Ovis aries: one gene and its partner. The protein of the gene in region 1 purifies or fractionates together with the protein of each later gene. This does not show direct contact. Links are inferred from orthologs where the notes say so. Each region holds a gene or a part of one and is shown on either strand. Other genes may lie near its edges.

Evidence for each region. The genes of interacting proteins can lie anywhere in the genome.
Region 2: the proteins of MCM2 (region 1) and histone H2B type 1-B purify together in Homo sapiens (affinity purification with mass spectrometry; 3 studies listed by BioGRID). This does not show direct contact. The link is inferred for Ovis aries from reciprocal best matches to the Homo sapiens genes MCM2 and H2BC3.

Annotation. Positions count from the first base shown.
Region 1 is NC_056072.1:59,783,033-59,786,675, reverse strand, and holds part of MCM2 (DNA replication licensing factor MCM2), read left to right. Parts: coding exon 1-118; intron 119-1,489; coding exon 1,490-1,624; intron 1,625-1,830; coding exon 1,831-2,022; intron 2,023-3,643. UniProt on the Homo sapiens protein: Acts as a component of the MCM2-7 complex (MCM complex) which is the replicative helicase essential for 'once per cell cycle' DNA replication initiation and elongation in eukaryotic cells.
Region 2 is NC_056073.1:30,871,938-30,875,931, forward strand, and holds the start of histone H2B type 1-B, read left to right. Parts: upstream 1-1,523; 5' UTR 1,524-1,569; coding exon 1,570-1,950; 3' UTR 1,951-3,994. UniProt on the Homo sapiens protein: Core component of nucleosome. Nucleosomes wrap and compact DNA into chromatin, limiting DNA accessibility to the cellular machineries which require DNA as a template.

The sequences.
Region 1 (3,643 bases):
CTGCAACAAGTGCGGCTTCGTGCTGGGGCCCTTCTGCCAGTCCCAGAACCAGGAGGTGAAGCCGGGCTCCTGCCCCGAGTGCCAGTCAGCCGGCCCCTTTGAGGTCAACATGGAGGAGGTGAGTGCCAGCCAGACCTCGAGGTGGTCCAGATGCTTCCGTCTGAAACATCAGCGTTTACTGCTCTCTAGCAAATGGGAAGATCTGGAGAACTGCCCCTGCTCCCCCAGAGCCCTGCCCACAGCAAGTGGCGGGCTTGTCCTGACTCCCTGGGACCTGTCTGGCCTCTCGCAAGGTCACGATTGCCCTGTAGGGAGACTCTGCTGTGCCGTCTGCGGGAGGCCCTACTTGAAGGCTCTGGGCCTTAAGCGCCTAGACATGTAATTAATGCTCGGTTTTGTCCATGTTGGGGGGCCATCACGACCCCTGTGTGGGGTGCACATCTCTCCACCGTCTGTTGCCGTGAGTGTCAGGCTGACCCCTCACTGCTCCACAAATCTGAGAAGCGCCCAGGTTGGAGCTGCCTTGCCAAGGAGTGCCTGGCAGCCCACTGCCAGAGTCTGACCTGTTCAAAGTCAGGTGCACCTTGACTTGGGGAGGGTGGCTGCTGGGCGGGGCTCCAGGTGAGCCCCTGCCTTTGCCCAGAGGCCCCCACCCCCGCCCCCGTCTCGCTGGTCCCCTCCACTTAGGGTTACCCTGCCATACACATTGCTCTGGACGCCTCCTGCCTAGGAGCAGAGGCATGGGCTCTGCGTGCGGGGACAGGAACTCGTGGGGAGTGGTCCTCACAGTGGAGATCCCGGAGGGCGTGCTCGGTGCCCAGGGCGGGCCTGCGTTAGTGGGTCTTCAGCGCCGCGTGGGGGCAGGTGCTGTCCTGGGTCCTCTCTGGCCGATAAAGTAACAGCAGGCTGTCCGGCTAGGAGGTGGCCCAGAGGGTTGGAACTCAGGCCTTTTGACCCGGACCGCGAGCATGTAGCCACCGTCACGGAGCTCTTCTGGATGGTAGGGAAACGGGGCTGTTAGACTGCACGCACCGCGCTGCCCCGTGATTTGAGAGCAGGCCCACCTCCGGTGTAACTCGCTTCCTGGGTGCTGGTTTGATGCTTTTCGCGTGACCTGACTTCCCGTGTGGCCTCACCTGCAGTGTTCACGCCCCACCCCACGGGGTGGCACAGGGAGCCTCGTCCGCCGGCGTCACTCAGCTCAGGCCGCAGAGCAGCCCAGCTCCCACAGCCACACGCACGGGATGAGCTGCAGGGCCCGGAGCGGGCTATGCGTCTGTGGAGGGAGGCGGCCGGAGCAGAGGTGGGGTGGGGTGCCAGTGCCCGTGGCTCCCTGCCCTCTCGGCCTGTGTCTCCTCGTCACCAGTGAGGATAATAAGCTGCACTCCCTGCCCGGGGCCGCGGTCCAGTCAGGTGACGAGCCGGTGCTCAGACCCCGGCATCCGCCCCCGGGCAGGACGGCCCCTGAGTCCGTGTCTGTCCTCTGCAGACCATCTACCAGAACTACCAGCGCATCCGAATCCAAGAGAGTCCCGGCAAAGTGGCAGCGGGCCGGCTGCCCCGCTCCAAGGACGCCATCCTCCTCGCGGACCTGGTAGACAGCTGCAAGCCGGGGGACGAGATTGTGAGTGCCCAGGGCCGAGGGGGCTGGTGTGGGCACTGTGGCTGGGCAGTGGTCAGCTCTCTGTTGCTGGGCCGAGCTTCTGTTGGGGTTCAGCGGCCGGGTGCCACACTTCTGCTGAGTTCAGCTCTCTCGGACCAGGGGCCCTGGGGAGAGGCAAGGTGGGGCCCGCACCAGGTCGGGCCCCCTGACCTCTCGGCCTCCCCCAGGAGCTGACCGGCATCTACCACAACAACTATGATGGGGCTCTCAACACCACCAACGGCTTCCCGGTCTTTGCCACTGTCATCCTTGCCAACCACGTGGCCAAGAAGGACAACAAGGTGGCCGTGGGCGAGCTGACCGACGAGGACGTGAAGATGATCACCAGCCTCTCCAAGGACCAGCAGATCGGGGAGAAGGCAGGTGGAAGGTGGTGGTGGGGGGGCCGCTGCCACAGAGCCTGGGTGCCTAGGGTCGCACCCCGGCCACCGCAAGCCTCCGTCTTGGTTCCGGGCCTTGGAAGCTGGGCCCTCGTTTTGATTCCCGTGTCCACTGAGTCCGCGTGCCTCGACGCGGGCTGTGCTCTCAGGGAAGAGCAACAGGAGGCCTCTCGGAGCCCGTGTTGCGTCCGGAGGACGGGGGAGTGCTCGGGCTGGACCGGAAACGTGGAAGCAGGAGGAACTTGGCGGGGGGTCATCCCCGGTGTCACCCGCCTCCCTGCGATCTGCCTCCTGGAAAAGCGCTCCCCAGTGCGGGCTGTCGTTTGCCCTTGAACGGCAGGCGTGTTTGCGGAGCCTGGAGAAACGGGGTTTACTGTCTAGAGATGAAGATATAAGTGGTTTCCGAGCAGTGCAGGGCTGAGGAGTGCCCACCGAGGGTCCGCGTGTGAGCACGCTTGCGACAGTCTTGGTCGCAGGGCGCACAGTTCCTGTCCTTGAGACCTGCCGGGTCTGCGCTTGGCCCCTCAGGTCCCCCTCCCCTCCCCTCGCCTCCCACGTGCTGTCCACCTGTTGCCGCACTGCCCGCTGTCTCCCGGACTGCTCTCTGCCCGCAGCACAGGGCCCTGCACCCCACTGGCGCTGTTATCCATCCGCCGAGATTGGGGCCCCCCGGGGAATAGGACTCACGGGTCTGCCAGCGCTCTGGGTTGGGGAGACGCTCTGGGGCTGCGCCCAGGCCTCCAGCAGGGAGTTGGACCTGGTCGTTGCTGTCACGGGGCTCCTCCTTTCCTGGGTCCCAGTAACACCTCGGCCCCTCTCGCCTCCCTGAAGAAAACCGGTGCTGGCGTGACAGATGTGTTCAGACTCCCGATGAGCGTTTGGGCGGGTTTCCAAGGGCGGGGACTCCGTGTCCCGGGCACGTGTCAGCTTGCCTGCGCGTGCACCTGTTTGCGGGCAGTGGGGGGTCCACATGGGGGTCTGCGGCCCTCCCAGCCCCCTGCCCTGCCTGTGCCGTGGCCTCCCGCCCCCACCTGCTCTGCTGTTCTGCAGAGCGAGGCAGCTGGATTCTGAACAGGGTGGCGCCGAGGATGCCCGTCGCCGCCGAGCCCGGGAAGCTGCTCCCTTCTGCGTCCGCCTGTCCGGGCTGGCCTCTGACATATCCGGGAAGAGTCTGGGGGGGGCCTTGGTCCTGCCTGCTCCTTGCCCGTGATGCTCAGATCAAGGCCTCGGGTGGACGAGGCGACCCCCCAACACCCGCCCGTCTGAGCCCTGTGGGGGGTTGGCCAGCAGTGGCCTCGTGTCGAGTCTGCCGTTAGGGTGGGCATTCTTGCCAGCCACGGGGAACGCCTCTGCGACTCTAGAGGCGCGTTGAAAGGATTACAGGCAGGTCCAGAAGCAGTTAGGTGCTTTGACCCGCTCGGGCCAGAGTCTGCAGACCCGGCGACGGTGGGGTCAGCACACCCCGTGTGCCGGCGGGTTTTGGCGCGTGGTTTTCTCTGTCTTTAATGCTTGCATGAGTGATTCCTTAGAATTAGGTTTCACCTAGAAACGTGGGCACCCAGGTTTGGACGGCCCGAGCCAGGCGCTCCGTGCTGCTGGC
Region 2 (3,994 bases), on another chromosome or scaffold:
CCGGTTAATTAAGAGAGAGTCTGATTGGATGAATTACTTCTACACCTATTTCCTATGCCTTTTTTTTTAAATCTAGGCGACCTGAAGGAATTTTCCTAAATTGTTTCATCTTATTGCCAACTTCAATGTACATAACGAGCCATTTACCCACCATGTTAACTTTTGATTCAGTATACGGGTGGGACCTGATATTCTTAATTCTTGACACGTTCTCAAGATTGTCAGTATTTCTGCTCCAATCCTAAATTGAATACAATTGATCTTTCTCCCCCACAGTTGGGTCAGCTTTAAGTAAATCTCGAACTACCAGGACTACCACTTTCTAACTTTGGTCATCAGATCTCCCCTAATTCTGAGTTTATCTTCTGTAAAACTACATGCCAGGGTCCCTGGGTGGATGATTTTAAAAAATCACATGCATGCAAAGGTGGAATTGATGACATATATACACTGGATCCTGATAAACTTCCATGGGGGGGCGGGGGGATTGTTTTAAAATTTTGAAAGCAAAGGCAAGAGAAAAATAATCTTGGCAAGAGTAATTGCTTTTTGTTATCCTCAAGACTAAGTACCGCTCTAGTCTCCCCTTCTCTTTATAAAGGCCCTTGTGGATTACAAAGGTTTCGCCAGCTATGCAGTAAAATAATGCTTGTGAGAACATTTCCAGAGTCTTTGTTTTAATGTCATTTGTCTTTTTACAATTAACCACCTACGCAGCATAACCTGGCTACCAGCTTTTTTTTTTTTTTTTTAATAAAAATGTGGATGGCTGTGAAAAGTCTTTGAATAGTTTATTAAAAAGTTTCTTCTTTTGTCTAGGCTTTACTTCCCCTTCGCCTTGTGGTGACTCTCCGTCTTCTTGGGCAGCGGCACCGCCTGGATGTTGGGCAGGACGCCGCCCTGAGCGATGGTGACTTTGCCCAGCAGCTTGTTCAGCTCCTCGTCGTTGCGGTTAGCCAACTGCAGGTGACGCGGGATGATGCGGGTCTTCTTTTTGTCCCGGGCCGCGTTGCCGCCAGCTCCAGAATATCAGGCGTCAGGTACTCCAGCACCGCCGCCAAGTACACCGGAGCGCCGGCTCCAACCCGCTCGGTATAGCTGCCCTTGCGGAGCAGGCGGTGCACTCGCCCCACTAGAAATTGTAAACCAGCCCGGGAAGACCGAGTTTTGGCTTTAGCTCGAGTTTTGCCTCCTTGTTTACCACGTCCAGACATAGTTACTTTGTAAAACTCAACAGCAAAACTTGTGAGCAGGAAAAAAAAAACCCTGGACGACCAAGGGGGGATAAAAATATTTTTTTAATAGACAGTAGAGGGATGCGCCACTTAGGTCTCCTATTGGTCAGAAGGACGAAGGTTTTTCTATCCAATAGAAAGAGAATATGTGTATCCCTTATTTGCATAAACCCCTCCCTCCAGACCTTAGTGAACCTGTACTGATCTTACCCAATCAAAAGTGAGAATTTTTCATTCCTCATTTACATTGAAGCGCTATAAATATCTGGTTTTTGAACTCATACTGGTAATCTTAGTCGCGGAGGCTATCATCTAACGTTTCTAGGGCAAAACAATGCCTGAGCCGTCTAAATCTGCTCCCGCTCCTAAAAAAGGCTCTAAGAAAGCCATCACTAAAGCACAGAAAAAAGATGGCAAAAAACGCAAGCGCAGTCGTAAAGAGAGCTACTCTATTTATGTGTACAAGGTTCTGAAGCAGGTCCATCCAGATACTGGTATCTCATCTAAGGCCATGGGTATCATGAACTCCTTTGTGAACGACATTTTCGAGCGCATCGCGGGCGAGGCGTCACGCCTGGCGCATTACAACAAGCGCTCGACCATCACATCCAGGGAGATCCAGACGGCCGTGCGCCTGCTGCTGCCCGGGGAGCTGGCCAAGCATGCTGTGTCTGAGGGTACCAAGGCCGTCACTAAATACACCAGCTCCAAATGAGTGCCTGCATAGGCAGTTAATCCAAAGGCTCTTTTCAGAGCCACCCACTTTGTCGAAGAAAGACTGTAACTGCCGTTTTCTCGCGCGGTAAATGCAATTCTGTCCTATTGATTTAAGCATCTACATCTACTCTAGTGGGGTTAATAGTTGAAGCAATTTTGGAGCCAGAACCTCTAGCTACTTGAAAAGTCTCTTGGCATTTAAGAGACGTTCCCCGAAAGACACATCTTCCCGTTTCCCATGGACTAAGCATCCAGATGCTTGGAAATGCTCACTCTTCACGAGGCCTCTTAAAATTTTTGATGGTGATTAGAATTTTCCTTCCGGGTAAGGAAGTGGTTGGGGGGATTTCAGGGTCCCGATCCTCAAGGCATCTTTATGCAGGTTGTCTTTTCAGGGCAGGTTGCAGGGAAGGCAAATCAGTGGGGTTTTCTCCCTGTTATTGGGGAAACTAAGCAAAATCACCTGTTGTTCCTTTAGCAAACCGCGGACACTTTTATAAGGTATTAAACTCTGCACATGGTTGAAATGAGATTTTCTAATTTCTCATTATAATTGTATAGTGATGGAAACAGCCAATGTAAAGCCGTTTCCATTTTTCTTGCATTCCTGATATCTGGGTTCCAGTTTCCTGGGTCATTTACCTTCCTGGGATGGCACTAGAAGAGGTTGAAAGTGTGGCACTCCCAATTCTAGGAGGGGAAATGGTTTGAATTTTCTGACCTCCCCATCTGGTGTCACCTCATTTGCAGACTAGGAGGGCCCCAGGTGGAGAGGAAGGTGTGCTAATTTTTCTTGGGAAAATTTTTTAAGAGAACATACTACTCCCAAAATAATCCTGATAGGAAGGGCCTTGGTTGTGGAAAAGGAGTCAGTGGGGCTGGATGAGGGGAAGAGCCACGAAAAGTCAGCGGTTGACTGCATATTAAAAAGGTAGGGGAAAGTCTTTTCTTTGGTTTATAAGCACCATATTTAGGTGACATACATCAGTGTGTTTGGATAAGGAAATAAAAACTCGAAGTAGAATTTCTCAAAAAGACCACTTTTAAATTTTGGAGTTAAATGAACTTTTCCCAGATCCCACACAAATTAGGTGACTGCTATATGAGAAGACTTCCCTGTCTCAGCATACATAAAACATACCTGTGAAACAGAAGCTTGTCTTAGAAGTTAAAAATCTTGGTTTTTAGATTGTAACCCCCTCCACTCATCTCTGGGGGGAAAAGAAAGAAAAATTGAACTCAAGCTGCAGTTTCAGAATTGCTCTCTGGAGGGATGAGATCTTAGTGGTAATATAATCTCAGTCTCTTCAAAATTATCTCCTGGGGTAGAACTTATTATTTGCCTGCTTGCTTGCTTCTATCTTCCTTCTCCTTGCCCCTTCCTTTCTTCCTAATAGTTGATATTTTACAGAACTATATACAGTCAGCAAAAAGACCAGGAGCTGACTGTGGCTCAGATTATGAACTCCTTATTGCCAAATTCAGACTTAAATTTAAGAAAGTAGGGAAAACCACTAGACCATTCAGGTATGACCTAAATCAAATCTTTAATGATTATTTCAGTGGAAGTGAGAAATAGATTTAAGGGACTAGATCTGATAGAGTGCCTGATGAACTATGGATGCAGGTTCATGACACTGTAGGAGCAAGACCATCCCAAAGAAAAAGAAATGCAAAAAAGCAAAATGGCTGTCTGAGGAGGGCTTATAAATAGCTGTGAAAAGAAGAGAAGTGAAAAGCAAAGGAGAAAAGGAAAGATATACCCATTTGAATACAGAGTTCCAAAGAATAGCAAGGAGAGATAAGAAAGACTTCTTCAGGGATCAGTGCAAAGAAATAGAGGAATATAATAAAATGGGAAAGACTAGAGAGCTCTTCAAGATCATTAGAGATATTAAGGAAACATTTCATGCAAAGATGGGCTCAATAAAGGACAGAAATGGTATGGACCTAACAGAAGCAGAAGATATTAAGAAGAGGTGGCAAGAATACACAGAAGAACTGTACAAAAAAGATCTTCACGACCCAGATAATCACGATGG